Xenopus tropicalis: one gene and its partner. Each later gene encodes a partner of the first gene's protein in a complex. Links are inferred from orthologs where the notes say so. Each region holds a gene or a part of one and is shown on either strand. Other genes may lie near its edges. The genes, in order: bbs7 and arl6.

What was found.
Region 2: the proteins of bbs7 (region 1) and arl6 are in contact, whole or in part, in a cryo-EM structure (PDB 6VBV), measured with the Bos taurus proteins. The link is inferred for Xenopus tropicalis from reciprocal best matches to the Homo sapiens genes BBS7 and ARL6. Residues at the interface, in NP_001178275.2 of Bos taurus: Leu3, Ile249, Val250, Gly251, Asp300, Gly301, Tyr302, Asp303, Thr319, Glu320, Pro321, His323, Lys324, Glu325, Ser326, Gly327, Pro328; in NP_001069250.1 of Bos taurus: Met132, Asp133, Arg135, Thr139, Ser140, Val141, Ser144, Trp157, His158, Ile159, Cys160, Ala161, Asp163, Lys166.

What each region holds. Positions count from the first base shown.
Region 1 is NC_030677.2:66,817,327-66,820,394, forward strand, and holds part of bbs7 (Bardet-Biedl syndrome 7 protein), read left to right. Parts: intron 1-357; coding exon 358-522; intron 523-1,543; coding exon 1,544-1,653; intron 1,654-2,890; coding exon 2,891-2,994; intron 2,995-3,068.
Region 2 is NC_030678.2:20,788,771-20,793,232, forward strand, and holds the start of arl6 (ADP-ribosylation factor-like protein 6), read right to left. Parts: upstream 2,946-4,462; 5' UTR 2,792-2,945; intron 1-2,791. UniProt on the Homo sapiens protein: Involved in membrane protein trafficking at the base of the ciliary organelle. Mediates recruitment onto plasma membrane of the BBSome complex which would constitute a coat complex required for sorting of specific membrane proteins to the primary cilia.

The DNA of each region.
Region 1 (3,068 bases):
AGGTGACATTAGCACCCTTAAGCCCATTAGACTCTGTATTGCACATGTATGAGCAATTAAACAATGCCTGACTCACTAATATGGCAACACAGTCAGATACAATATTAGGACAGGTAGAGGATTTTTTTTAATAAAGAAGAGCACAGGCTGGCAGAACTTATCATCTATTAAAGTTTGATGTTATCAAACATCTCCACCTTTTATTTTGGCTCATTGTTCTTTAAATATATTTACTATTTTGGAAGGGAACATATATTTAAAATTAAATAAATAAAGCTTCATGAAGGAACAGACCAAAAGTGGATGAGAGTATGAGTTATGCTAGACTGACAGTAATGATATGTGCATGTATTTCAGGCCCATGAACACGGTGAGCCTGACTGGCCAGTTCAGCTTTTCAGACATGCATTCCTGGGTTGTATTTTGTTTACCTGAAGTCCCTGAGAAAACTCCAGTGGGAGAGAACGTCACCTTTTACTTCAAGAATACCTTTCTGGAAACGCAGCTCGAATGTACATACAGGTAAATTGTAAAACTGGGTTCTTCAGAATCATTTCCGCCAATTAAAAGCACGATTGGAAAAAATTTGGAGTAACCACAATAATTTCTAATGTGCAAAAATTCTTTTTTTGGTCATACGAAAATATCGTGGTTGCGATCCGAAAGTCACAAAATGTTCATATCCGAACGATCGTTAAAGGTGCGAGATCCTTTCTGGCTTTAAAACTTAAATGCATGATTTTGGAAGCCTCCCATAGGACTCAATGACACTCTACAGCTCCAACCTGGCCAAAAAAAAGTCACAATACCAAAGCTTAAATGAATTCCGAAATTGTCGTAGTCTTTGCAAAAAATACAAAGTTTTTGTGGAATTTAACGAAAACCACGAAAAAGTCTTACTATTTTAACGATATTGTTGTAAATACGAAAAGGTCTAACAATTAGAAAAAATACAATTTTTTCTTATTCGTGGTCAATATAACCAGGACTGTTATATATAATGTTCCAGAATGTGCAATCCATTTACAGGTATGAGACCTGTTATCCGGAATGTTTGGGACCTGGGGTTTTCCAGATATTTCCATAATTTGGATTTCTGTACCTTACTACAAAAATCATTTAAACATTAAATAAACCCAATAGGTTTGTTTTGCCTCCAATATGAATTAGTGCAGCTTAATTACGATCATGTACAATGTACTGTTTTATTATTACAAAAAAAAAAAAGGAAATCATTTTTAAAAATCTGGATCATTTGATTAAAATGGAGTCTATGGGAGATGGCCTTCCTGTAATTTGGAGCTTTCTGGATAACTGTGTCTGGATAACTGAACCCATACCTGTATCAAAACTTGTTAAAACAAAAGTACTTCAGTCAGTGGGTCTTGTGCAGCATCAAAATATTATGTTCATTAAAAAAATATATATATGTTGTCACTGAAATGTCTTCTGTGGACTTCCACAGGAAATGAAACCTATATATAATATATTATACATATATATAGCATTGTCATTCATGCTCACCTCTTTTTTTTTATCACAGAAAGGGAGAAGGATTATTTAAATCTGACAATATATCAACAATTTCTATCCTGAAAGATGTGCTGTCAAAAGAAGCCACTAAAAGAAAGATTAATCTCAACATATCATATGGTATTTTGTCTAATTTACTTTCCCTTACCTAGCCTTATACAAACATACATTCCACTGTTCAGTGCTCTTGTTCTTGAAATGTATTACTTTTGTGAGTATTTATTTCTTAATATACTTTTTGTAATCTTTTATAGTGCAGTATATCTCCACCTTTGTATTGCAGACTAACACAAGCTGTTTGTTACCGAGTCTGGAGATATTTCAAGTAGTTCAGTTATGTGTGCCATCTAGTTAGGAAATGTTGATGCCTTATTATAAATATATTAGAAAATAGAAATTATATTCATTGTAAAAAGAAAATATTTCAAATCCATATTCATTTTATCTGAAAGAGTATTTAGTTTCATCAAAAATATAAAATACTAAAATATTTTAATGAATGTATACTGGAAAATTATTATATTGAAAATAACAGTTAAATGTTATTTTTGAATTTATATCCCTTTAATACTACTGACTTGTTTCTCAAATTAGTGAAATAGGTTGCTAAGTTTTTCCCCAGGCTGGTGCTCCTGGAGGGAACTGCACCAACCTGTAGAAAAAACTGTCTGAGCACCGCACCGGCATCTCCTTACCTTACTTTCTTATTTGAGTGCAGTGGCCGGTAAATGGTAAGTAAATTGGCGGCATGGCGCTCAGACAGTTTTTTCCACAGGCTTTTAAGATTCTCTTCTAACAGGAGCACCAACCTGGGAAAATAATATAGCAACCTATTTCACTTAGGGGGCCTAACATTTTGGAACCCCTCCATAAAATAGACTTTACATGTCCTGTAATACAGATTCCCTTTGTAAATGAGCTATTCCTTATTACAAAGGCTGCAGCTTAGGTATTAGCGGGGTTTTTTTATACAAAGCTCATTATCTCCCTTTGAAATATTACCCTGTTTTATTTATTGTGCTATTTTCAAGCCAAGGTGTTTACTGCCCCTTTGAGGGAAGATAAATTGTTAAAATGTCAGTAATGGCACTTCTGGTATAAAACATGGCTTTTACTGCTAAGAAACAAACCTAGAACTTTATAATGTAAAAGAAAACAAATTTATGTTATGGCCTTTTAACATTATTTTTTAAGAGCTGTTCACTTTTCCTGAGCTCAAGGGTAATGTTAATGAATGTTAATGCAGTTTGGATAGTAATTACTAGAATGAATGTTACGGTTCCTCCATGTGTAGCAAGCTTTTGCAGTCATCATATAAAACTAACTTTTGCCTCACTTCTTCTTTTGGTTTGTGCAGATATAAATGAAGAATCTGTTGGGCACACTTTGAAACTGATTCATCCAAAACTGGAGTACCAATTGCTCTTAGCCAAAAAAGTACAATTAATTGATGCTCTGAAGGTGGGTAATATGTGTTAGGAGCATTTCTTCTTGTGTGAGCTTTTAGCTAATTAGCTATCAATGGGTCTGTCTAT
Region 2 (4,462 bases), on another chromosome or scaffold:
AAATATGACAGTTACAAGTATTCCGCCCCCACAGGATTGCTTGTGTCTAACTAAATATAGGGAAAGTAAACAACGGACTGACCAATTAACCATTTTATGTATTGATATGATTCATTTCCAAAGTTTAGGGAGTGCCCTGAACAATTCTGATGTGTGGCCACACAAAGAACTGTTACACCACTAGTGAAACATTATAAGGGTTATATATTTACTATGACCCCTGATGCAACTGCTGGAGCACTAAAAGCAGGGTAGGCAGATTTATTTTTCCAAACTAGCCAAAGTCAGTTCTAAAACCAGCCCAAAACTAGCCAAAAGCCACTTTGAAAGTAGCCCACAAATAGTCCAATATGCGCAATGAAAAAAAATTCTAAGAAAATAAAAGTATATATGGGGAAACCCTGCCTTTTTAAAGCTTATAAGCACTACCCATGCCATGTGCTCCCTTTCCAGGTACTGGGATGGCTGATAATTCCCTGCCCTCTGTGCCCAGACCAGCTGGGAAGTCACTACAGAAATAGATTCTGAATGTTGCATTAACCCCAGACATGATATACATGGGTGCATTGCACTACAACTCTCAGCCGCCCCAAGATATCCTGAGAGTTATAGCTTAAAGTGATACTGACACTTAAAAACTACTCTTCAAAATATTAATGTACATTAAAGGTTACATATAGATCATGTTGACCGTTTTTCACTGATAGGGCTGCTTCTGTAAGTAATTGTTACTTGAAGTTCCTAAACCTGACTGTTTTGCCAACCAGACTGTGTCCCTTTTCAGCTTACCAGTTCCAGCTTCTAATGCTATCGGACTCCTGCTGCACAAATATGGCAGCCCCCTCATAGAGGAACATTGAAGATCATGTAGGTAATGTAGAAGCACCAGACAAGTGCTTTAAAGACAACATTATAAATAGCATGCAAAGACAATGTTGTGATAAATATAAACATAAAGTTTCATTTCTGATGTCAGTATCTCTTTAAGGACCAACTGCAGAGCTGCTCCCACATCACAGTAGAAAGTACAATCACATAACCTATAGAGCAGGGAGCTGGTTGTAGAATAGACGGATTGAGCCTGAAAGGAAAAAAAAAAAAAGAAATAGAAAAGGGAGCCTCTGTCTATACTATCCAATTGCATGCTGGGTATGGTAGTTCTATATTAATCCTAGCTGTAGGCCAATTGTTCGATACAAACTATATTACCCAGCATGCAGTGGAACAGGCACACTAGGGGGCAAAAATTTCGGCTAGTTTCCAAATTACAAACTATTATTATTATTATTATTACAAACCCGCCAAGGCTCCAAAAAATAGACCAAAACTGTACCTTGGCTGGTTTGTATATTGGAAACCCACCAGGGCTTTAAATTAGTAGCCCCATTTGGTGGGAACACCGCCAATCTGGCAACCCTGACTAAAAGGTGCAAAATCAGTCCTCATTTAGCACTTGAGTTCAGAGTCTGGCTGCTCTGCACTTAGCACTAAATTTCAATCCAGAGCGAAGTGCAGAGGGCAATGCAGGTGGATGCATGGCAGCTATGGCCATACAGGGCTCCTTTGCTGCCTGTACCTACATGTGTGAATGAGGTGTAAGTTAGGGAATGGGTAAGTGCCCCTGCTCCTCAACAATACAACACTGCCAAACACGGGTCTCTGGAGCGCAGGAACTTCAATTAAAAAAAAGTGCAGGGCAGGGTGCGAAAAACATAGCAGTTTGAAACCCTTTTAATGCACTTTGTAAATAACCCCTTATATCACACCTTATTGCTGTACTGTATGAAGCAGGGAAACAATCACAGCCCCGGAGGGAATAAAGTCTTTACTGGGGAAACAAATAAACCAGCACTAAGGATACAGGCATCTGTCCTCACTGGTCTAAAGGGATCTACCAATAGCAAAGCAACACATTTGGTGTTAATAGTTTTTAAATGGGACTTCCTGGGAGTCTGTGACTGTAATTATAGGGTCGCTCACCGTTACCAAATGTCCCATTCGCAGCATTTTTTGATCAGTTTTATTAACATTGGAGATAAATACCAACAGTAATGCCGCCCATAGCAACCAATTTTGTCCTCTCTCTTGTAGGTGGCCATGATCTGGGAATCAGCACTTTTATTGTACTGTCACCCACTGTGACCTACAGCACTTATATTTGCCTATTTGTGTCTGTAAGTTACCCTCCCATATAGATTGTAAGCTCTACGGGGCAGGGACCTCCATCCTCTTGTGTCTTTGACTCTTAACTTATTGCAACTGTATTTATCTGTATTTATTGTTATAATTTGTATTTATCTATTATCTTATTAACCCCCTGTTTGTATTAATGTATCCTACTGTACAGCGCTGCGTACATAAGTAGCGCTTTATAAATAAAGATATACATACATGTCTAATTGGTTGCTATGGAAAACATCACCAGTAATATTTATTTCCTATGTAAAACACATCCTATTTATTTTTAAACTACTGCCCTGTGGAGATATACCTTTATTGTAATTGTTATTTATCTTCCTATTCAGGCCCTCTCCGTGTCTCATTGGAACCCCTGCCTAGTTGCTAGGGTAACATGGACGCTTAGCAACCACATAGCTTCTGAAAAAAAATAACACAACAAAATGAAGACCACTAGTTTGTCTCAGAAGAAGACTCCCTGCAGCATATTACAATCTCATTTAAAGGTTACCCACTATTTAAGTACGCTACACCAAATGTTATATATTCACTGACCCTTCTAAATGATACTGGAATCATACAAAATTAAGCAATTAATTAAGCAATTACATACGGCCCATAACAAGCCTATGGCATACCGCCCAATTGTCCCGATTTTCTCGCAGTCCAGACTCGCTGTGTAAAAGTCCCTCAGCCCCGGTAAGGTCCAGCTCCCTAACTCCGGCCGGCGAGTTAATCCAAATCCCGCAGGTCTCATCTCGCGAGATTGTGACGTCACGCACCGTGTATATAAGCGCAGTGACGCCGCCCAGAGCCGCACTTTGCTAGTGGCGAACTTTGTGGTTATTTGCTAATATCATGCGATAGTGTATTTCGGGCGGGTGTTTGCCAACAATTTTTGTTTCTTTTGCTTGCAGCTCCTAGTTTTGTCTGGAAAAATATATTTACGTTATACCTGAAACCATAAGAGTTTAGTAAAGAGCAATTGTGGGCTCAGATGGGTGTATTTTGCGCCAAGAGGGGCTAGAGAGTAGTCCTTTATTCCTAGTTATTCTGGTCCTAATGCTGAAGTGTGCAAGTTCCAAGTAAGTACCACTAAAAAAATGTTTTTGTCGCCAAAATGGCACTGATTGGGTATCAGTTCAAAAATCAGCCCACAACTAGCCACTTTGAAAATAGCGCAATGTGCCCCCTTTCCAGTTACTGGGATGACTGATGTTTCCCTGCCCTGTGTGCCCAGTCCATGCTGGTTATTTGTAGTTTTGCTGCTTCAGGTTCAACAAAGAGGAATAGAAAAGGGACCCTCTGTCTATACTGTCCAATGGCATTCTGGGTAGTGTACTGTAGGGACCCATAGGGCCAAGCTCCCTATGGCTTTACCCCTACCTCTGTCCCAAGCAGAGCTCCATCTGAGCCTGGAGGCAGCAAGGCCCCAGTAACACTACTGGAACAACTAAAGTCGGGGACAGGGCCCCGTGAATGAGGATAAGAAAGCACAGCAGCACATTTAAAGGAGAAGGAAAGGCTAGTAAAGAGTTAATCTCAAGCTGCAGGCATACCTTCAGTTCTCTCAATAGTGCCCTTAAGTCTCCCCATACTTCACCCGTTCAGAAGATCAGAAGCCAAACAGAGAAAAAACCTTAAACGACCAAAATTTTTAAACCTGGCCGATCGATTTTGGGGACGATAATGTCGGCTCGTTTAGTGGGCCGACGATCGTTCGTACACCACCAACTATACGATAACTTAACGATAGCATCGGATCGTTCGGGAATCGGTCGTTTGTAAGTAAAAAATCGGTCCGTGTATGGCCACCTTAAGATGGCGGCGCCGTTCACTGAAACAAGCATGTAAGTTCAAGTATGTGTATCTTTGTAAATCTTTCATTAGGCAAGCCAGGAATATAGCGATTTTACGCAGCAATAGTATTACTTTTTAATAGTGTGCTTATTAGATTTTGCCTTTCCTTCTCCTTTAATAGCACTCTCTAGGAGAAGTGAGCATAGTCAGCTTTATCTAGAAAGGGCAGCCATTAGCCCCACCATAGGAGACTCTAAGGGTTTAGCCTACCCCAGGCTCTGTATGCCTTGCTATAGGGACCACAGTTAAGACAAAGGCTCAGGCAGTACTTACCCCTGAACCACCGTTGGCTGTAGGGCTCCTAGCTACTACCTCTGCATATCTCCATTGTGGGCTATACTGTTCCTAAAGGTCACAACTGCTGTTTACCACTGTGACTTTCTATATCTACTGTTTGTGAGTATATGACAACCCTGTATTATAG